Caenorhabditis elegans: one gene and its partners. The protein of the gene in region 3 purifies or fractionates together with the protein of the main gene of each other region. This does not show direct contact. Each region holds a gene or a part of one and is shown on either strand. Other genes may lie near its edges.

Region 1 (4,477 bases), on a different chromosome or scaffold from region 3:
AACATCCTCAAGACTAGGTGTGTCTCCATTCTATCCTGCAGATGGAAACCCATCAAATCCGTTCCCACCTATATATAAGTAAGCTAGTATATCTATTTTCCTTTACCTCAAAATCCTATTCGTGAAATTTCAGAGCTCGTCCTCTACCTCTTCATGTCCCAGAGCCACAAGACGTCGTAGCCGTTCCATTAGATGAAGAAGCTCTTCACGGAGAACCACTATTCCCGCCAGAGCTCATTCTTCCGAGTGAACTGGCTGCAGAAGAAGCGGCAAAGAAAAAGGCTTTGGAGACAAAGAAACCTGAGAATCCATTTGCTGACGTTGTTGAAACCAATGAGCAGTTGGATACTGTACATTGGCCAACGGCAGTGAGTACATCAGAGATAGAAGGAGAGGACTCACAGGGAAAGAATATGGTTCAAGGTTTTCAATTTTATTTTTCTAAATACTTAAAGTTGAATAATTTTCAGAAGATGAACCACAACGCTCAGTAATAATCGATGAAGCGAGAGAGAAACCCATGCAGCCATTTGAAGCAGCCAAGATATCAATTGGTGCGAACGACCGGCCGAAGAACCCATTCCGGTCCCGACGAATTCTCATGGAGAGGTTCTAAATACTTTTATTTAAATAATTTATTTCCAATAATATTAACAAAAATGTAAATAAACGAATTTTCAATAAACCAGAGATTATTTGGAGATCAATGTTCATTTGTTGCCGGTTTTCTATACCAGAATCGAGCACGATGATCGTCACTTCCTGTCATGAATGCTGGCATGGATGGGGAATGAACGAAAGTTCGGCACGCTGATGTGTGTCCTAGAGCAAGAAGTCGCTTTCTGTCGGAATTGCGAGCATCCCACGAGCACATGCTTCCACTCTTCTCGTCTGGGAATAACACTGAAATTTTTATTAAACAGTTTTTATTACATTATGATATTCTTACTTCGCTCTCGAAAAGCAAAAAAAAATCTCCAGAATTTGCAATTTGTTCCAATAATATTTTTTGAAAGCCAGAGAAAAATATAATCGATTCTCGAGATTTTTTTAGAAACACTCTTCGACGCGTTATTAACGAAAACAGTTAAGAACTAACCGTAATCTTCATTGTGGTTAAATGAAGCGTTTGTGGCAAAATCCTGTGCTCCAGTAGCTCCTGCTCCCGTATAGACAATCAAACACCGATTAGTACTCAGTTCCCATAGTTTCACAATACTATCCATTCCACTTGTTAATATGTATTTTCCATTCTTTGTAAATTTGGCTGAGCAGATTGATGAACCATCGTGAGCTCTTTTGAATGTCTCTACACATCTGTTTGACACACCATCCCATATCTTTACGTGCCCATCCTTTGAAGCCGTTACATAGAGCCGTGCATTTTCAGAATAATGAACATCTGTTACAGATTCAGTATGTTGATCATCTGGATTCGCTGAAGCATATGCCTGAGCTGTTTCAATGTTGTAGAGACGAACAGTAGGATGATCCGTTGCAACAAGAAGAAATTCACCACCTGGGTGACACGAGAGTGCACGCACTGGGTATACTTCCTGTAATTTATTTTTAATATTTATGCTTCAGTTATTTATATTGTTATGATATCAATAATTTTTAGGAATTTCTCGAAATTCGTATATTCTTTTAAATAATTTCCAAATAAACTTTATCTTTTACTTTGTATGTACTTATTCTCAACATTGTGGCTTTATAAACTTCTAAGAAATGTTTTCTTCCAAATCAGAGAACTTACCGACAACGTTTTCATCGCCTTTTTAACAGCAGTTTTTGAGAAATCAAATAACTTCACAGTCTTATCATTCGATCCGGAGATAAGAATTGAGTCTCTTGGATGGAAGATCACAGTATTAACGTCCTAAAAATGCAACTTAGATATTATGAACGTTTTTTTTTTCGAAAAACTAACATCAACATGATCATACAGAGTTCTTATCACCGGATGGTGCGCATCTGGACCATTTTCGTTCATTTCTCTGTGCTCTTTCTCGCGGGCAAGAATTCTCTCAACATCCATAATTTTGATCGAGCAATCTGCTGAACCTGTTGCCACTAAGGAACCATCCGAATTGAACGCTGCTGCTCTACAAGGAGCTTTGTGAACCGTCAAGTAGATGGTCTCATACTCCGATGGCTCGGAAGAAACTGGCTGCACATCAGCGTCGTATTCGAGATCCAAGCCCGAAGAGACGGGTTCGAATTGCATCTTTAAAATACAAAATTATTAGATAGTTTCAGGCATTTTGTGACGTTTTTGTGACCAAATCGTAAAAAATGAAACTTACCGGCGAGGATTTTTCTTCGGCTTTGTAATCTGGATCCTCTACAAATTGCTTTGCAATTGTGACCAGTCTGAACAATTTATCTGAAGGCGGCGGAGCTGGAGCAGAACATCCCAAAGTATTTGCGAGGTTGACGGCAATTTGTTGATGACCATCGTAGAAAAGCTGCCTGAAATAAGTTTTTGAAAGTATGAACTTTTTTAGTTTTGCTTGTTTAGCGCGAGATAACTTACCCAATAATCAGCCGATACATGTATTCACGATCTTTGATATCTGGCTTCATTATTAAAGTATGTTTCCTTGAATAAATATTCGAAAATCCTCAAAGCGCAATAAATTCCTTGCAAAATTTAAACTTATATTAAAGGCGCATGCCGTTTCCCCTGCGGTGGGTCTCGCAGCGATCTCCCCTCAAATCGTAGTCGGCTGCCTCAAACTAAATTTTCCTCGACGTTTTTCTCACTGGCCTAAATTTTTTTAGGAATTTTGTCGGTATTTTTTATTTTCAAGCATGTAATTGTCTCTAACATTAATGAGTTTTCAACCTGCATGTGTGCTCTCCTTGTAATTCGAGAATATTTTTTATTCTCGAATTTGAATTATACTTTCTACCACCGTAATTTTATTATTGTTACATAATATAATATTTATTTTTTCAGGTAATAATGAAGGTCAATCCGTTCGTCTCCAGCGATTCCGGAAAGAGCCGCAAGGCCCACTTCAACGCTCCATCCCACGAGCGCAGACGCATCATGTCTGCCCCACTCACCAAGGAGCTCCGCACCAAGCACGGAATCCGTGCTATTCCAATCAGGTTGGTTTTTTTAAATAGAAAAACTTTACTGTTTCCATTAAGTAGTCCCGTACGTTGAAATTTTCACGTACGGTTTGGACAATATGGAGAAATGAATGTTACTCTTTTTGCAATGACGCTGAAACATATTTTCGCTTTGTTAGCCATAAGTTTAAAACAATTTTTGATTTCAGAACCGATGATGAGGTCGTCGTTATGCGCGGACGCCATAAGGGAAACACTGGACGTGTCCTCAGATGCTACCGTAAGAAGTTCGTTATCCACATCGACAAGATCACCCGCGAGAAGGCTAACGGATCCACTGTGCACATCGGAATCCACCCTTCGAAGGTGAGGTTTGTATAAACTAGTTCCGGTGCACATCGACTCATCACAACTGTCAGGTTTGTGAGTTCCATGATTCTTAATGTTGCATTCGGACTAGGAAAAGTTTATTATATTTTGAAGTGACCGAGTTCGTTCTTTAACCCAAATTATGTTCAGGTCGCTATCACCAAGCTGAAGCTCGATAAGGATCGTCGTGCCCTCGTTGAGCGCAAGGCTGCCGGACGTTCCCGCGTCACTGGAATCCTCAAGGGAAAGCACACTGACGAGACCGTCAACTAAATTGTTATTAATTACAAATAAATTGTTGATTCTTTTCCATTTGTTTTGGCTTCGATTCATTTTCAAAGAAAATATTTTAATGCTATCTGGAAATTCCAGTAATAAGTAAACAAGAGTAATAGTACAGAAAAAGCTATTTAAAGGGTCTTCTATCCATTTGAGAAAATGTATCTGATGTTTTGGCGAGTTTCCTCATTTTCCACTTTCGGTCTGCATTGCGCGTCAAATTTGATGCACTGTGTTTGCACAATTTCACATTCTATGAAATTATCCTTGATTTGAACAAGATAGTATTGCTATTTATTTTCAGAAGATGTCTGGGTTGAGCATGCGTAACCCAGAGCGTCGGATTGAAACAAATCCATTCGACGTAGACGCGTGGAATTTACTGCTCCGAGAACATCAGGTAGACATTTGACAACAAATTGAATCGACGTCTATTCCGTTCATTTTTCAGTCACGACCGATTGACCAAGAACGAGATTTTTACGAAAGTCTTGTAAAACAATTTCCTAACTCCGGACGGTACTGGAAAGCTTACATCGAGCACGAGGTATTACAAAATAGAAATTAGAAAAATAAAAATGATTAAAGTTTTCAGCTTCGTTCCAAAAATTTCGAAAATGTGGAGAAGGTAATTTATCCCGGTATTTGATAAATTTAATAGTTTTCTTTTTCAGTTATTCAGTAGATGTCTTGTGTCTGTTCTCAACATAGATCTGTGGAAATGCTATATTCATTACGTATTCGAAAC
Region 2 (6,845 bases), on a different chromosome or scaffold from region 3:
CCCCGAACACCTCAAAATTGTGTTTGTACTTCTCGAACATTCTCTAACAAACACCCCCATAATTTTTTTTCGAAAAGAAAAATGGGAGGAACGAAAAGTTGAACATGTGGTTATGAATCATTCAGTTGCACTCCTAAGTTGCAGCTTCAAGAGCAACTAAGTCTTATTCCTTAGCTTTCAGTGTTTGAAGCAAAACGTAGTATTTCTGTTTTTTGAAGTAAACTAAAGCTGTATTGATTTATTGCTCCAAAAAATGGCTTTAGTTCAATTTTAATAAGAACTATCTTGACTAACTTATTTATCCATTCTTTGCACTGCTCTGTTGCAAACTTCACATTAATAACAGACTCATTAATTCTGATACGTGTTTTTGGTGAGAACGTGAAAAACGCGGGAACACATGACGGGACCTTGCAAGTTGCGGTATCACTAGCTCTTTTCTCTTCCTCAAAGATTTCTCTTTTTTGCTCTCTTTCCGCAAAAATTGTTTTCTTATCAGTCGCTGATTCTTCTTTCGTTTTACTTTACACCCGAAAAAACGCAAAAGAAGCAACGAAAAGAACGCGATTTTTCGAGTTTTTAGCTCAACGTTTTTTGAAATCCGAACCTCCCAAATGTTGTATTCAAAGTCTTTTTTTTCTTTCGTACTTTTCTTTGCATTAGTTGTTGCCAGATCTTCTATTTTTATCTTAAGAGTCAAAAATCTTTGATTGATACGAGTAGGGCAGAAAAGACACGAAGAGTGGAAAATGTTCACTAGTTGCCTCATCCATTATCAGAGTCGGTCCAGTCTTTGTTTACTGCTGCGATCCCTTCTAACACCTGATTGTTCCCTCTACCAGTGACCTTTTTTTGACAATTCTTTTGTCTGTGTGATTGAATCGCATTGCACTTCCAAATTAGAACACACAAAACGCCAAGGGGGAGACGAATCATTTGTTGCAAAACCAACTTGTGTCCATTTCTGCATCTTGATCGGAAACCACAATCGTTCGAAGAATTTTGCTTTCAGTTGATTGTTTTTTTGCGTTGCTTCTTCCAAACGCCCACTTTTATATCTATCAATCAAATCGTTCAATCTAAAGTTTTATTATCATCAGTAGTCGGATTTTTTCCCGCTTTGTTTTCGGCAATCTTTGGCGGTTGTCTTGGAAATGCCTGCGCACAAAAAAATTTACTTGTGATGAAGATTGGGTGAGGAAACTTTATTTAGAATATATGAAGTGTTTTGATAGATTGAGGAATATCTGTGTTGAGGAGTTATTTCATTAAAACAAAATTGATGATTCAAATGGTTATCATAGAAACATTCAAATTGAAACATCATTCATTTTTTAAATTTCTCACAGTAAAATTCACCATTAATACGGTTTCCGACTGCCTAACATTCTGCAACAATTCCCTGAAAACAGAACGAATTGTCGATTTTTAATAACTGATTTTTGTTTATTTTTATTTAATTTTTATAACCCCTCCGCAAACTGTCAAAATTTATCACCAAAGAATAAAGTCGATTTTCAAAATTATATAGGGCTATTCCGTCATATTCAAAATGACCTTCTTATTTTTCTTCTCAGTGTTTTTTCCTCATTTTCCCTCCTGGGCGCTCGACCTCTGACACTCACAACGATCGCGCGCGCGCCCCGTCGCCTTCACTCCTTTTCTTCCTCGTCGCCTCACAGTTCCGTCTCACTCCAAAGGGTGCCTCCTGCAACAAGCACGAAATTTTAGCATTCATTCGCGGTGTTGGCGCTCGGCGGCCTGATCGCTCAACATGGCGGGCTTGGACACGTAGATGTATGTGAGAATCAATTTTATTTCCGTTTTTCTCTCTTTCTATCAATATCGTATTTGGCCCGCCGCCCCCCTTCACCTCGTTTCTCTTCTTGATCGACTTCTCTCGTTCCTCGTCTCCTGTTATTTCAATTTCAACATTATTTCTACACCCACACTCTCCATACCGAGTGTCTTCTCTCTTTTTGTTATCATTGCCATCAAGCCAAACGAACTCTTCAATCTGATATTTGAACAACTGATCTGATCGCTATTTCTGCTCTTTTCAGGGGGAATGGCGGATGTTGCTACCAAAATCCCAGATGCAAGTAGGTTCACCACTGATGTTGATATTACACGTTGTAGGGAATACCACTTTCAACAAATTTTTTGTTTCAGACTGGGTGCGTCTCGAAATTGAGCCAGTTCAAGTGAGCCATGATCAGGACGCCACTCTAAACTTTGCCACCGTCCAATCAGTGGTCCCAGGAGCACATGGACTCTACTACAGAGATGATGGAGAGAGAAAAGCTCTCCTGTAAGTGATGTAGTCCTTGCAAAGTGTCACTTCCGATACCCGTCATTTTAAACGGTTCACTGGGTTACCAATTAGGAGAAACCGCCACCTGCCGTAGTCAATTTAGTCATTATATTCTCGACCGTTTGTTCTCAGATCAACACAAAAGAATTGCGCGCGCCATCGTTCCATCAAAATGAAAAATGACTGTGTATATATGTCTTATCAAAGTTTACAATTCTTTTTAACCCTAACCCTAACACCAGGTGAAACGTGAATTGTCTAATTCAAAGTGATAGGTCAACGTAAACAATTTTCCCAAAAATCAGTTGATAATCCGAAACCGGTTTAGAACATGCATGTACATGTTTACAAATAGACAATCCGCGCAGAAATATGATTATATTAGAACAACATTTGCTGCTTTCCCATTGTCGATTAGCATTATCCAAATCCAAAGTTCCAGTCAGTCAGTCAACAAAACGTTTAACATTTTTCTATTTCAAGGTTCGACAACAACACCGGCAAGGTGTACCCACCTCCAAACGGATGGGATTCAGTGCCGATTTTTATCCATTTAGGTGAGAGACGACTTGTCGATACGAGAGAAAACATTAATTGGAAAACAAGAACCATAAATTTGCGACGGTGTCTAAGTTTTTCTTTCTTGCAGCACACGGATCACGCCACGGAACCCATTTTGCCGACTATTCGAAGGCCAATGACGCCTTTGAAAAGAACATTTCAGCTGTGCAGAAGCTTTTCGGTAATTGGTTCTATTTGGTTTACGTGGAATTTGGGGTTAAAAAGACCTATATTCGCAAAATCGTTTAGGAATGAGTATCATGCATGGGGCAAATCCAAACATGAAGCCCATTTCAAAAAAAAAAACGAATTTTCCGTTAACAGTGAAAATTTTCTTTATTGCCCCAATAGTTGCCACTATTTTCCAGAGCTGGCAATTTAAAATGGATTACTGTATAAAATTTGTTTAATGTTCTACCAATTCAAAATATTGGTTTTAATATTCTTGAAATTTTGACATATTTGACTGAGTAACATAAAAATCTGATCATCAAGCCAAAGTAGTATTTCGTGTTTTTTTAAGTGCATAGCTTTGTAACAGTTTTGAAGTACCAGCTAATTTTTTTCCTGCTCAATCAAAACACGATCGCAGCTGTGTAAACTGTGAAATCTCCAAATGCTTCAAAAGCGATCTGACATTTTTTGTCCAATTCAAACTTGTAAACATGTTGTCGGTCTCCGAGTGGTACATTTGTGACAAATTTGACCGGCGAAATTGAAACAAACAGAGAATTTGCATTATTTTAGCTGCCGCGGGACTTGGTGGAAGGTCACAAAAGGTGTATGCAGCTGGAAAGACCCGTGCTCGTAGTACTTCAAAGAAAAATCAGCCAAGAAGCCAGTTTGATGCTCAGCCTGAAAATGTGAATATCAGCGAGGAGAGCGAGGGAAGAGACTCCGAAAAGGAAAAGAACGACCGACAGCTGGAAAAGCTGAGAAACCGAAATGATGAGCTGAAAATTAGGTAATAACCCTAATTTCTCAATATGTTTAAATTTTTTTTTAATTTTTCAACTTAACAGAGTGAAAGAATACAAATCCGACTTGTCAGCCGCTCAACTTAAAGTCAAAAATCTTGAGAAAAAGTTGGAATCCGCCCAATCGGCTGATTCTGAAGAGAAATTCGTTCGAATTGATTCGGAAATCGACGAGAAACGATCCCAGGATCACGATGAAGAAATCAAGTATGATAATCAAAATGCACATTTCACGTTATTATTTAATTAGTTCTTTCAGCAACTTGCACAATGTCATTGAAGAGCTTCGAAACAAGTTGGCCACTGTTGAATCGAAAAATAAGGATCTTGAGACCAAATTCTCCGAGAATCAAGATTATTTGAAGAACGCAAAAGACAAGTAAAACATTTAAAAGTTCAAGAGTTAATCGGAAAAAAAATTATTTTAGGGTAACATTCTTAGAGAATCAACTCAACTCCGACGCTCATGAAGAAGTGAAGAGTACCGCCGTCAGAGCACTAGAGGTTAAACTCGGCTTGGCCAACAATTCAATTCGTCAAGCTGAGGCTGAGAAGCAACAGCTCCAGGAGGCTAACTGGTACGCGAACGAACGTGTCGGCAAGTTGGAACAGGAGAACGGATATTTGAAGGGAATCACTGAACAATTGAAGTAAGGCATTGAAATGACAAGCAATTTTTAATTTAGGGTTTTCTTTCAGGGCCAGAGCAGACACCTCACACGCTGAAAAAATGCTGAAGGACAGCGAGAAGCGTGTCTGGGAGATCAACGAAGAGAAGAGCAAGCTGGAGTGGCGTCTCGGTGAGCTCTCCCAATGGTGGAACGATGCAAAGTGGAAGGTCGGCGAGTTGGAATCCTCTGTTGCCCTACAGAGAAATTTGCTTGACACGGCAAACTCGAAGATTCAAAGCCTTAATGATCAGTGAGTTTTCTTTGGAGTTGGGGTCAGAGCAATACGAGATTGAATGTTTCATGAATTTAAAATATCAAAAACGGCGCTTGTAAATCATTTCATTACATAAAAATAAAAACGAAAAATTGCATGAACATCTTTGATCACTTTCTAGAATTACCCAAAAAAGGACTTTATAAAAATCAAAAACTGAATAAATTTTCAAAATAACAGATAGGAAACTTTAAAGAATTTTTTCATATTTCATTTTTAGGTTAATACAGGAAGTGAGGTAAGGAATACAGATTTTATTGAACTACTTGTAACTTAACGTCTGGAAAGCAATGCACTTTATATTTTTTTTTCTGAAATTTGCGGAGTAGTTGAATTGAAAACAATACTAACTATGTTTTGTTTTTCTTATTTAATTTTTAAAAATTGAAACGAGTGTACAGTGTATTTGACGGTGTGAATATAGTGTTCCTCATCCAAAGCAATATTTCATTCGAAATCGAAATTCCAATAATTTAGGAGTCACTCCAGCACCATGACCATTCCCACCGACGGATTCACCATTAGCCAAAGCAACCAAGGAACTTGGAACCTTGCCAAGTAAGTTATACCAGTGGTTCTCTTGATATCACTATTCCAAGTATTTGCAGCGGAAGTAACCAGCCATGTTTCACCGGAGCCATCCCATCCATCCCACTTGTCTCAGCCCTGCCATTCGCCGGAGCCAATCCATTCATTTTTGGGGGAGCTAACGAAGGAAGAAATGTAACGTTGACCATTTCGAACACAGAGCAGGAAGTTTACTTGACGGTAAGTTTTTTTTTGCCAAATAGGTCTTCATTTGATTTTTCAGGGAAGTTTTATCAACTGGAAATGCACATTGAAATGCGAGAAACTGGTTAGCGGCAAGAAAGGAGTCACGGTCAATTTGACGCGTGGAAGGTAACAACATTCAAATTCAAAACACAAATTTCAAGTAATAATTTTAGACACGAGTTCCGATTCATGATCAATGGCGAATGGGCGACGTCGAGCGACTATCAACAGGTGCCAAACGGTTTGGGCGGACAGAATAACATTATTTTTGTCGAATAATAATTATTCCCTTGATCACTTAAATTGAATTATTTTTTCTTACCTGTCAACTTTGTTTCCATTTACTTCTCCTCATTTTTTGTATCTTTATTTCTTGTTTGTATTACATACCACTCCATTCAAACTTATGCAGTTAACCACTCTATTCACTAGATTGTGTTTAGAAAATTGTGAAGATTCTGAATTTTTTCGGGACTTTTGGCATTGCCATGATGTGAATGAATATTTTCGGTTAATATTAATTCAGATTTCAAATAACTTTTGTTCAATATGTAAAGTTTTTTTACTTAATTTTTAATAATTGGTTGTTTTTTCTCAATTTTCCGAATTAAATTTTTCAATAGAAGATGTTACATCGATGCTCGAGAGTATTGTCACAATTTTTGGTAGGTACTTTGCAGTGGTTTTGTTTCACGTTGACAACTACCCTCAATACATAATATGGCGTTTTATGAAAAAATTATAAAGAAGTTAACATATACTTTCGGGCACAATTTTTGCAGTACTCTAACTATGTACTTGATTGAAATCTCAGCAATCAAGTAAGGAGCAAATAATTCAATTAATAAGTTCCATCCTCTTTTATTTAAAATAGTGTTTTTGCGCATTAATTGATTAACTTTAGAAAAAAATCAACAAACAAACAAATTTGGAAAATGTAAAAGTTTGTTGAAGATCTAATTTTTTCCAAGATAAATTAATTAATTTACAGAAAAGTTTTTTGTCCTATATCTTTTATTTAAATGTTTTTTTTTTCAAAAAGTTAAAATCAAAATATTCAAAAATATTATGAAAATGTGCTATTCAAACTGACGTCCTACACGTTTTCAAAAATTTCAAACTTTAAAACACATTTCCATATTCACCACTAGAAAAATATATATTTTTTTAAAGTAATCAGGTGTTAGTACTTGGAGTCTAAAATTTGCAAAATTGAAAGACTTGAGATAAAAATGAAAATGACGAATAATTGAGAATGTGCAAGAAATATTTTA
Region 3 (7,373 bases):
AGATGAACCATATTGTTCTCTTCTAACCTCATATCAGAATTTAAATTGAAGTTTTGGTTTTTCAGTAACTAGCATGTCTGCAAAACGTTTACAATTAAAGTATAGAACGAACAAAATTCACTTTTGTTTGAAAATATGTCTCAAAGCAATAATATGTTCGCAAGAAATTGATTAATACATCTTATGTAGACACTTTGGCAGTTTCAGAATACTCTTTTCACAATCCGAGCGCGCCTGTTCCGCACTCCAGTCACGCCCTATCCTCGCGCCAGGCGCATTTCACCTCTTTTCGCGCGCCAGTCGCACCCCCTTCGCGCCCCAGGAGGAGCCAACTACCGAGTAGCTCTTGTGTCGAAAACCGAGCCCGTAAATCGACACTACAGTAGTAATTTAAATAATGACTATAGTTTTGCGCTATGAGATATTTTGCGCGTCAAATATGTTGCGCAGTACGCAGTCTCAGCAGTTTGTGTTGGCGTAATAATACTTTCAACGAAATTCCAGTTCCTCGAGAAAAGCAAGACGACCCACGCACTCGGCCGTCCTGGAACTACATCCGAAGTAGCTGAAGCTATCCTATTCCTGTCCTCTGAGAAGAGCTCATTCACTACTGGACAACTGTTGAAGGTTGATGGTGGTCGAGGAATTATGCATCCGAGATAAAGAATATATGATTTATTGTTTTGAAAATTGAGAATGAAGTAAATTTGTACCAAGCAGACAGACAGAGTATATCATGTATAATACTATTAGTACAATTAGGATTTTAGAATGCTTATATTTAATACCATGAAATGAATGTGTGAGGGGTTTCCGTTTAGAAGTCGTCGAACTTGATTCTGAAATAATATAAAAACTATTAAAAATTTTTTATTATATACACTTACATCTTATATTTCTGTCCCGGTTTCACCGAATCCAGAATATTGAAATATTGATCCGCTTCGTTTCGATTCATGATATGACTGATTATTGGGGTTTCATAATCTTCAGATGGATCTTCGGATGGAAACGCGGAAAAACTGAAAATTAAAAAAAATTTATTTTCTTTAATTTACGACGAACCTTTTGCGTTCAGAATAAGCATTCGGACTATTTTGTGACGGGCGTGGAGCTCGCTGTGGCGACAATCGCCTTGGAGCCGGAACCACAACAGATTCTTGTTGAACATTTGGAGCAACATCTCTTGATCTTGCACTGGGATGCTCTGGCTCACGAACAGATGATGAGCTGATGAAGTGATCGTCTGAAATTAAAAATAAAAAAAAAATTAATTTTCAAACTTTCAAAATTCAGAATTTTCGAGAAAAATTCTTACTGTAAGAATAAGGAACATCAAGCTGTTCATTGTAGTTTTCCTCATCAGAATCTTCTTCGAAATCCAGTGGTTCAGATGCGAATTCGTATTGATCATGATTAGATGGACCTTCTTGATGGACGTCATATTGTTCATCGGTATCTCTCTGCCTGGCGGCGTAGACTTCGGCGTCATTACGGGATATTGTTCTTGCCAAGATTCTGGAAAAATATCTATAGACGCTCATTTAATTTTCGAAATTTCTGGGAACTGCAGAGAATGTTTTGTTTTTTCTGTGAATTTTAATTTTACTATTTTTGAAAAAAAAAACGAAAAATCGAAAAAATTTCGTAGTTCGATTTTTTGATTTTCCCTCAAAAACATCGAAAAATGGAAAAACATAAATTTTTTCGATTTTTGAAAAATCGACTTCTGGTCATTTTGGTATTTTTTCTTCTTTTTAGAATAAAATTTTATGTTTTTTCTCATCAATTTAGACCAAATTAAATTTTTAAAAAATCATAATTTATGGTTAATTTTTCTGGATTTAAAAAAAAAAGGTTTTTCGGAAAAAATTTAAAATCGAAAATTTTCTTTTTCGAAAACATTTCTTCTTTTTAGAATAAATTTTTATGTTTTTTCTCATGATTTTTTTTTTAAAAATCGAAAATCAAAAAAATTTTGATTTTTCTATTTTTGAAAAAAAAAACGAAAAATCAAAAATTTCTGTTTTCGATTTCCAATTTTTCGATTTTCCCTCAAAAATATCGAAAAATCGGAAAAATAAAAAAACGAAAATTTTAGAAAAAACCGACTTTTGGTCATTATGGTTTTTTTTCTTATTTTTAGAATACATTTTTTGTATGTTTTTTTCTCACCAATTTAGACGAAATTAGATTCAAAAAAATCATCTTTTATGGTTAATTTTCAGATTTTTTCTCCGATTTTCCGGATAATCGAAAAATCGAAAATTTTCGATTTTTTTTGAAATCGAGATATCGAAAATTTTTAGTTTTTTCGATTTGTCAAAAATTAGCTTATAATTTTTGGTATTTTCTTCTTTTTAGAATAAATTTTTATGTTTTTTTCTGATCAATTTAAACTTTTTTATGGTTAATTTTCTGAACTTATTTTTTACATTTTTGTATTTTCGGATAATCGAAAAATCGAAAATTTTCGTTTTTCCGTACGTTTGAGGCAAACTTGTGTCACTCCCGTCTTGAATGCAAATCTCATGAACTGGCGGCGAAATCACGAATCCTTGAAGCCGGTTCCCCTTTATTACAGTGAAAAAATTGTCTCTGTAAAATGTGTTTTATCTTGAAAATCACTGCAAAAAATGTTACAATAGTCTTGCATTATGAGCCTTGACGCAATTGTATTTCGTAGGCGATGGTTTATTCTCATGAAAACTGCAGAATAGGTTCAATTCAGTTCTGGGAATGAGAAAATGATATTGAAATTGATTACAAATATCAACATCTCTCCAGACACGGGGGACATCCGTCGGCGCTTTTTCGAGTATTACACTTGTAAAATCCTGAATGCTCAGAATACTAGGAATGATGACTTCTTGGAAGAATGTGATGGCATTGATTCCAGTGTAAGTGGCCAGAGTCTTGATTCCATAATATACAAAATTGAATTGAGCTCGATCGCATAGAATCGGAGATTTCGGATGCTGTTTTAAAAGGTGTTGAAGCCACTCGAAAACTTCATATGGTTCACAGCCATCGGCGGGTCCATTGGGCGAAATTCCCAGTTCGTCGGCTGAAAATTTTAAGCTACTGACCATTTATAGCATTTTTTTGGCAATTTTTCGGCAACATTCGATAAGTTTCGACAACTTTCGACACTATTGCAAAATTTTGACAATTTTTGAGAAGTTTCAAACAACTTTCCACAACTTTTCGAAAATTGTAGAAACTTTCGCCAACTTTCGGCAATTTATGACAACTTTCGGGAAATTTTACAAAGTTTTGGCAACATTCCCCAATTTCTCTTCAATTTTCAGCAAAATTTATAAATTTTGGCAATTTTTGTAAAGTTTCGCCAATTTTCGACAACTATTGCAAAATTTTGGCATTTTTTGAGGAGTTTCAAACAACTTTCCAAAATTTCTGGAAACTCTAGCCAACTTCTGCAAAGGTTTTGACAAAATTCGGTAAGTTTCGCCAATTTTCATTAATACTTTCGCTATTTTTGCAAAGTTTTAGCACCATTGTCCCATTCTCCAATTTTTAAAACAATTTTCAGCAACTTTTATAAATTTTTGCGAACTTTTTGAAAATATTCGGCAATTTTTGACAACTTTCAGTAACTTTCGTCAACTATTGCAAAATTCTGGTAATTTTAGCCAAATTTCGGCAATTTTTGTGAAGTTTTGCCAATTTTCATTTAATTTTCGGCAACTTTTGCTTATTATCGGCAATTTTTGCAAAGTTTTTGGCACCATTCTTCAATTTTTAAAACAATCTTCTGCAACTTTTCGAATTTTTTGCTACCCATTGCTTTTCTAGACAATTCCTCGTGCCCAATGTCATCTGCATCTGGATAAAACCAAGCTGCATCGAATTTGACGAATCTCGATTCATTCTGAATGATTCCATTCTTAAGATTGAATGTTGTAACGGATATCTCTGCAGGATACGATGAAAGCTTATTGATTGATGGTTTGAAGGCGTAGGCAACCGGAAATACTGAAACAATCTGCATTGTGTAGTCCTCGCAAAGCAACGGATTTCCAGGATCATCAGAACGCTGAGCAATGTATGAAGTCATTATTCGTTTCGCCTTTTTGCGATTTGCAAGACAAAACGCGTCGAGATCTTCGGTGATGTGAAGAACGTGATTTATATCTCTTGGCAACGCTATAACACTTGGAGTTTGGCTCAGTGTCTCCAAATGTGCACGTCGGAGCTGTTGGAACTCATCTGGATTTCGGTGGCGCATCTCACGGTTTCTCTGTGCTCTCTGGTGCTTTGTTTTCTGAAAAAAAAAACATAGTTTTTCTTTAAAGGTGGACTACGCTCAGTGGGGAAATTGCTTTAAAACACGCCTATGGTCCCACAATAACCGAATATCATGATTAAAAAATTCAAAAAAATTTTCTAGATTTTATATGATTTTTTGAAAATTGGAAAAATCACAGTTTTCACCTAATTATTTTTGAATTTCCGCCAATTGGATTTTTTCGGTGGAGCGTGCTTGCATTATTTTTTTTTATTAATTTTATTTATTTTCGTTATTTGACTGATTTTCTTCATTTTCTATGTTTTTTCTTCGGAAAATGAAAGAAATAAACAAGAAAATGCGAAATGTTTGTTAAAAATTAACTGAAAATGCGTAAAACTGTGATATTCTGAGTTCTGACGACGAAGAGCCTGAAATTAGAATATTTGACAGATTTAGGAAGTTTCAGTTAATTTTTAGTGATCATTCTTAATTTTTCTTGTTTATTTCTTTCATTTTCCGAAGAAAAAACATAGAAAATGAAGAAAATCAGTGAAATAACGAGAATAAATAAAATTAATTAATGAAAATAATGCAAGCACGCTCCACCGAACAAATCCAATTGGCGGAAATTCAAAAATAATTAGGTGAAAACTGTGATTTTTCCAATTTTCAAAAAATCATATAAAATCTAGAACATTTTTTTGAATTTTTTTATCATGATATTCGGTCATTGTGGGACCATAGGCGTGTTTTAAAGCAATTTCCCCACAGGGTGTAGTAAAATTTTCAATAAAAACCTACAATTACAAGCCCCCGATTTCCGTTGTGCTCGGCAACTTCTCGCTCGAATTTTTGCTTCAAATCAGGGCACATTCCCTGAAATCCGACATATTAGGCTTGAAAATAATAATTTTTCTTTATTTTTTTTACGTGATAATATCTTGTCATAATATCCTTGTCTGCCTGATCATTCTGATTGTATCGGTGGCCTTGCTCGGTCAGAAATCTAAACATCAAAATATCAAAAATCACATTTTCGCAAAATATATTCAGAAATTTTCCTACTTTTTCTGTCCTATCTGGCGTAGGAATAGCATGTAGACACTTTTCTTGCCGTCGACATGTTTTGCAACTGAAATCGGATTTCCGTTCTGGCGCACCGCATCTCCGGAGGTGCCGGCATTATTGGCTCGAATGCCCTCTCTGAAGAGATTTTTTAAAATTAATTGGGACAATATTTAAGGCAAACCTCTGATAATCTCTAAAATTAGATCTGTGATTTGACATATTCATAAAAATCAATTTTAGACGCTGGCAAAAGTCCGCAAAAGTCCTTGAAAATGTGCGCACCACTTGCAAAAATGCCGTGCCAGGGTTGCAATTATCGACTCCGCCCACTATTTCTTTTCGAATATTGAACGTGTTTTTTTCGGATTTTCAACACTTTTTTCTTATTATTTTTCGAAATTTGTGTTTTTTGTGTTTTTTAAATCATTTTTCATATTTTCAGACATTTTAAAATGGAAGAAAACTCGGCAGACATCGAAAACAGGCCGGTGGCGGCATTTCGGCCGGCAGTGTCAGTGCCAATGCCAGTTCTTCCGCAAGATGGAGAGGTAAATACTTTAGATTCGTTCAAATTAATGAAACTTTAAAACAAATTTTATTTTCAGGTGTTCGTAGGACCTGGAGGTAAGAAAGACGCTCAAAAAATTGGCCTTGGTTTATCGAAATTGAGTTCAAAGCGGAAGGATGATATTCAGATGGCGAAAAAGTATGCGATGGACATTTCAATTAAGCAGATTCTTCTTCGTCAGCAGAAACAGCAACAGGAGAATGTTAGTTTTATTTTTAAAAAGTAGAAATTATCGTAATAATCAATAAAATTTCAGCAACAACGGCAGCAAATGTACTCACAAGCTTTATCGATTATGTCCAGAATCTATGTTGGCTCAATCTCATTTGAAATCCGCGAAGATATGCTTCGCAGGGCTTTTGACCCATTTGGACCCATTAAATCTATTAATATGAGCTGGGATCCAGCTACTGGGGTGAGTTTTTAAAAAAGTCTTATTTTATTTTAAAATTCCGAAAGAATTAAGCTAATTTTATCTAAGGTCCTTTATTTTACCAGAAGTTTCCGTGTCAGAGCAGCTGGAAATTATTTTTCATTCGATTTTCATCTTTTATTGCAGATTTTGATAGTTTATCTCAATTTCTATCCAATTTTTGGTCATTTTTTGTCATCTATTGGCTTTAAATTTACTTAAATGAACAACTTAAATAAAAATATGCAATAAAAAAAATGATAATCGAATAAAAATTAATTTCCAAAAGCTGTGACACTTTTTTTTCAAATATTTGATGTTTTAAACGGAAGTTTTATTACGAATTGAGCATATTTTTAGTCTTAAATTAATAAATATTTCATTTTCAGCACCACAAAACGTTCGCATTTGTTGAATACGAAGTCCCAGAAGCCGCACTTCTTGCTCAAGAATCGATGAATGGTCAGATGCTCGGTGGACGTAATCTTAAAGTTAATTCGATGATGTTCCAGGAGATGAGATTGCCACAAAATATGCCACAGGCTCAGCCGATTATTGATATGGTTCAGAAGGATGCGAAGAAATATTTCAGGTAAAATGAGAAATTACTAGTTTAATTATTTTATTTAAAGTCATTTAAAAAATTTGGTGCTTTAAATGACAGAAAAAAGTAGAGACCGAATATAACTGGTTAAAAAAGTTTCTAAATTTTTTATTATTTTTTCAATTTTCAAAAATCAAAGAAACGTCCGAATTAAATTTGAATTCCCGCGCAAAGTTATTTTCGATATTTTGGCGTTTTCGGGCTAAAAACATCGGTTTACTTGGTTTGTCAGTTTTTCAGATTTTTCAGACACTTATCCGTGAATAAAATTCGATTACCCGAAAGTGGCGGAAATTTCAAAATTTGCCTAAAAATCGACAATTTAATAGTTATTTATAATTTTTGTTTCGGAAAAGTATTTCAAAATTTGAAAAAAAAACACAATTTAAAGGTGGACCACGCTTTAAAACACGCCTATGGTCCCACAATAACCGAATATCATGATTAAAAAATTCAAAAAAATGTTCTA
Region 4 (3,874 bases), on a different chromosome or scaffold from region 3:
TAAGTTGGAAATATTTCTTTACTATTTGAGATAGAACAAAGAATCATATTTAAATTTCAGGATGAAAACGGATGTGTAAATGTCAAAGTAGTTGTCATCGAGAGACCAATCATCCGAGATAAACTCAGGTTTGATTCGTTTTCAGAATGAGCAATTGATAAGTAAGTTCCAGACCGATTGCTTTCATTGACAGTGTATTGTCTGCTCATGTGAAGAGCATTCTAATCAATGTCCTTCATGAGAACTACGAAGGTCTACCAGCGGAACAACTGATCAAATCAACTAATGTTCTTTTTGCTTTCCTTGATAAGAACGGCGTACAGAAACTTCGACGTGTTCGGAAAAGTGACGTTGATCACTAACAGTTTTACAATTTACCAAAACTGTAAGTAATCATATTCCTCTAGTCCTGATAAATATGCAACAAACTTTATTTCAGCCGTGGCAGTGTCGTTCTGGTTCTGGATCTGATTGGCTTTGTCGAAAAGGGGAAGAAGATTCCAATTCAAATCGACATGGATGAAGAATAAAACTTTGCCATTTTATTAAAACACCTGATAAATGAATTATAAGGCACATTTTGGGAACATTTGACAAAAAAAACAACACCAAAAGAAAAATTTCGAATAATAGGGATGCTCGAGGACGGGGAATGGGGAGCAAAACAAAGAACAATTTGATATACTATAAACCAGGGGACTGGGAAATTGAAAGCAGAGAAAGTTGGGATCACAGATTATTTTATCAGTTTAATGGTACTTGCAAACAGATGGCACTGTGCATCCGTGCTTCTTGATGATTTCTTGAGCAGCATAAGATCCACAGGTGACTGAAGCTTCGACTCCCTTTCCTTGGATGAATTGAGAAAGGAAACCTCCGACAAAAGCGTCTCCGGCACCGTTGGTATCGACGATTTCTTCCTTTGGAAGACGAGTTACTGGGAATTCGGTGACCTGTAGATTAAAATTGAAAACAATAAATTCAAAAATTATCAAAAACTCTCACCTTATCTCCTTCCACGACGATGACTGGCTCTGGTCCTTGAGTGAAAACAACGAGTCTTGGCTTAGTAGATTTCTTTGGAAGTGCAGCAGCCTTCAAAGCGATCTCCTTGACACAGGTGGTCTCCCATCCATTGGCTTTAGCAAAGGCAGCAGCTTCGTCTTCGTTTCCGAAAAGAACATCGACCAATGGAATGATTTCCGAGAGCTTATCGAAGAAAAATTGGGAGATGAACGGGGCGGAGAGGTTAAGGGTGAAAGTCTTGTTGAATTCGGCAGAGTGGCTTGCGAGTTGGAGAATAGCTGGTGGGCAGACAGTGATGAAGAATCCCTGAAAATTTTACATTGAGAATACTTTTGTGCTTATTTGTAAATCAATTCGATAACTTACAGTGACATAGAAATATTTGGCCTGCTCGATGATCTTCTGATTCTCCTCCTTCTGGAGATGATCTTGAGTGAAGGTGTTAGCAGCAGCCAAATGAGCACAGAGTGATCTGAAATCATTTCAACACGGCAACGATGATTTTTCTGTCCGTCAAACAATGATCCGCTTACCTATGAGTTCCGTTGATGAGGGCTGCGCAGGTACCGGTCTTAACTGTCTCGTTGATCTGATAATGCACATTCACTCCAGCTTCTTTGGCTTTCGATGCCAAAAGATCTCCGTACTGATCTTTACCAACAGCTCCAAAGAAAACTGTTCGGTTTGGTGCGTTCAAAATCCATTGAGCAACACGGAGCGAATTCTGTGCGGCTCCTCCTGGAATGTACTCGACTTTGAAATCTCTGGTAAGCTCGGTGAACATGTCATTGTGCTTGTCGTCGCAAAGAATGGCGTCGTTTTCTTTGAGTCCCCATTTGTCAAGGAATGCCTGTAGATTTCAGCAATTAAAATGAAATATTTTTGAATGTGCTTCTAGATTTCTAGAGAAATCAAAAACTTACCTTTTCAACGGTGGTTTGAATGTCCAACAATGGATTGCACATTCCGATGAGGGTGTTTTCTGGCAGAGGAGACATTTCCGTGACGTGAGGAGATGGGATTACCTGCAGATAGACAATTAGAAAATGAAAAGTGAGAAAAAGGCGAGTTTTGAACGAGTAAATAGACATAAGAGAAAACAAATAAGAAGATTGGCAAAGAAAGAGTGCGAAAAAACCGTTTTCGTGCTTTTTTGAACACGAATAACGCTGTAAAGCCAAGATATTTTGTGTTTTAGGACAATACATTTCCACGAAATCCACGTTGTAATTTGAAATTCCGGCCGAAAGACATTTTTGATAAACAACGATCGCATGGGATATCGGAGTGTCGTTGCAACGTGTTTTAAGATTTTATCGATCATAAATCTTTGCTGACAGAAGCGGAAAGTTTTTAAAACACCGTTGCTATCTTAAAAAACATGAACGTTTAAAAAAACCAAGAATAAAATTTGCAAGTTTCTAAATGTGGAAGTACCTCCTTCAAACACAAATTAGTGAATGCTATTTTGAATAATATTTTGAATAATATATTAATAATGGCTGATTGTTTGATGAATACTGTGTATTTCTTTTCCAATTCTACGATTTTAAAGTGGGAAGCAGTTATGCGGAATGGTCTCGCCAAGAGCCGTCTATTGATATATTTTTCTCAATCAATGGCTGGCGCGTGGCGAGACCAATCCGCATAAATGCTCCTCCCTTTAAAATCGTAGAACTTGAAAAATTCATAGTAAAAATACGATTTTCGAAAGTGGGAGCGATGAGTTTCCAGAAAAGTGAACGATCAGGCGTGGAAATTCAAATGTAATAAGATAACTTATTAGAACTTGGACAAAAATGAGAATGAGTTACACACAAAGTACACGATTCTGATGAGAAATGCGCCTTCCAACTAGCCTATCTTCTATTTTATCGTCCATTACTCCCCAGTCTGTCTGCAGTTTCTAAAAGATCTCCGCTATTTCGTTATCGGTTTTTTGACCGGCAAATTGTGACACTGATAGTATCTACCGATATGCCATCTAGCCTCAGAACAAGAAAAGTTGGCTAACTTGCGGTGGTGGTTTGAACGAGACAATTTACAAGTTATGTTCAATTTAGAAAACAATTTTAGTTGTCAATGGCTTTTAAACCTAGCAATTACATTAAAGTCTATTGCAAACAGTTTAAAATTGAAACTAAGCCTGAATAAACAGACACAGTGCGTAATGCAATTTTCATGTGGAAGTTGCAAAAAAGATAGAAAAAAGAGAAGAAACTACAACGGCAACTGTTATGAAAAAACCGATTGATTTCCATTGTGTTCTATGAACAGAAGGTGTCTCCTGCACATAAGTTCTCAAAATGAGAAAAATTTTCGAAAATGGCCTGATTGAAAGTTGATAGTCGATCAATTAATGATCTATTGGGGTTTCTATGTGGAGTAATATAGAAGTTGTACTCATATTTATTGGCAGTAGTTAAACAATTACCTATATACTCCGAAAAGTAAAAACTACAAAGTTTTTTTCGTACCCACGTTGTGAGTTGATACTCAGCTAATAGGTGAATTTTCATATTCTCCTTCACTGCACTATTCACTATATATATAATAGATAGCCGTTATAGAGCATTATTTTCTATGAAAATTAAACATTTAAATCTTTTTACTTATTGTAAATAAATACTTTTAAAACCTACGTTTTGAAGAACTTGCATATTTCAATTAAATGAAAAAACGTGTTACAGATTTAATATTGCCACTGGAGATTTAGTCTCAATAAACTCCAAGTAGTCTAACATGGCCGCACATTAGTAAATTGCCAAAATTGGCCAAAAATGCGTATTTTTGAGTTATTTCAAGCATATTTGTAGGTCCAAACTATTTAAATTTTTTTCTTTGAAAC

Evidence for each region.
Region 1: the proteins of rde-10 (region 3) and cpf-1 purify together in Caenorhabditis elegans (affinity purification with mass spectrometry, with the first as the bait; one large-scale study listed by BioGRID). This does not show direct contact.
Region 2: the proteins of rde-10 (region 3) and F46H5.7 purify together in Caenorhabditis elegans (affinity purification with mass spectrometry, with the first as the bait; one large-scale study listed by BioGRID). This does not show direct contact.
Region 4: the proteins of rde-10 (region 3) and adk-1 purify together in Caenorhabditis elegans (affinity purification with mass spectrometry, with the first as the bait; one large-scale study listed by BioGRID). This does not show direct contact.

The regions. Positions count from the first base shown.
Region 1 is NC_003280.10:8,599,825-8,604,301, forward strand, and holds cpf-1 (Cleavage stimulation factor 50 kDa subunit), read right to left. Parts: upstream 2,617-4,477; 5' UTR 2,587-2,616; coding exon 2,537-2,586; intron 2,473-2,536; coding exon 2,307-2,472; intron 2,228-2,306; coding exon 1,931-2,227; intron 1,880-1,930; coding exon 1,757-1,879; intron 1,557-1,756; coding exon 1,100-1,556; intron 904-1,099; coding exon 704-903; 3' UTR 625-703; downstream 1-624. Other genes in the region: F28C6.5 (Amelotin), read left to right, coding at 1-78, 134-423, 471-616; rpl-26 (Large ribosomal subunit protein uL24), read left to right, coding at 2,969-3,117, 3,291-3,447, 3,601-3,723; suf-1 (Suppressor of forked domain-containing protein), read left to right, coding at 4,037-4,129, 4,181-4,276, 4,325-4,357, 4,404-4,477.
Region 2 is NC_003284.9:7,238,015-7,244,859, reverse strand, and holds F46H5.7 (AMPK1_CBM domain-containing protein), read left to right. Parts: upstream 1-1,876; 5' UTR 1,877-2,068; coding exon 2,069-2,102; intron 2,103-2,172; coding exon 2,173-2,311; intron 2,312-2,797; coding exon 2,798-2,871; intron 2,872-2,963; coding exon 2,964-3,056; intron 3,057-3,622; coding exon 3,623-3,839; intron 3,840-3,897; coding exon 3,898-4,059; intron 4,060-4,111; coding exon 4,112-4,231; intron 4,232-4,280; coding exon 4,281-4,502; intron 4,503-4,551; coding exon 4,552-4,773; intron 4,774-5,017; coding exon 5,018-5,035; intron 5,036-5,274; coding exon 5,275-5,355; intron 5,356-5,396; coding exon of another isoform or gene 5,397-5,405; coding exon 5,406-5,565; intron 5,566-5,608; coding exon 5,609-5,697; intron 5,698-5,744; coding exon 5,745-5,850; 3' UTR 5,851-6,194; downstream 6,195-6,845. Other genes in the region: putative arginine kinase F46H5.3, read left to right, coding at 6,198-6,236.
Region 3 is NC_003279.8:3,545,294-3,552,666, reverse strand, and holds rde-10 (RNA interference defective protein 10), read right to left. Parts: upstream 5,597-7,373; 5' UTR 5,540-5,596; coding exon 5,502-5,539; intron 5,456-5,501; coding exon 5,318-5,455; intron 5,259-5,317; coding exon 5,183-5,258; intron 5,129-5,182; coding exon 5,054-5,128; intron 4,286-5,053; coding exon 3,802-4,285; intron 3,068-3,801; coding exon 2,644-3,067; intron 2,599-2,643; coding exon 2,488-2,598; intron 1,519-2,487; coding exon 1,319-1,518; intron 1,247-1,318; coding exon 1,066-1,246; intron 1,023-1,065; coding exon 888-1,022; intron 840-887; coding exon 818-839; 3' UTR 664-817; downstream 1-663. Other genes in the region: Y47G6A.21 (DeHydrogenases, Short chain), read left to right, coding at 505-663; Poly(U)-binding-splicing factor rnp-6, read left to right, coding at 5,773-5,868, 5,926-6,090, 6,145-6,303, 6,690-6,892. UniProt on the Caenorhabditis elegans protein: In complex with rde-11, required in the endogenous and exogenous siRNA pathway for biogenesis and accumulation of secondary small interfering RNA (siRNA) intermediates, such as 22G-siRNAs derived from ergo-1 targets.
Region 4 is NC_003282.8:11,208,781-11,212,654, forward strand, and holds adk-1 (Adenosine kinase), read right to left. Parts: upstream 2,052-3,874; 5' UTR 2,025-2,051; coding exon 1,950-2,024; intron 1,877-1,949; coding exon 1,560-1,876; intron 1,499-1,559; coding exon 1,393-1,498; intron 1,333-1,392; coding exon 1,006-1,332; intron 954-1,005; coding exon 750-953; 3' UTR 529-749; downstream 1-528. Other genes in the region: R07H5.9 (Kinesin motor domain-containing protein), read left to right, coding at 61-128, 173-362.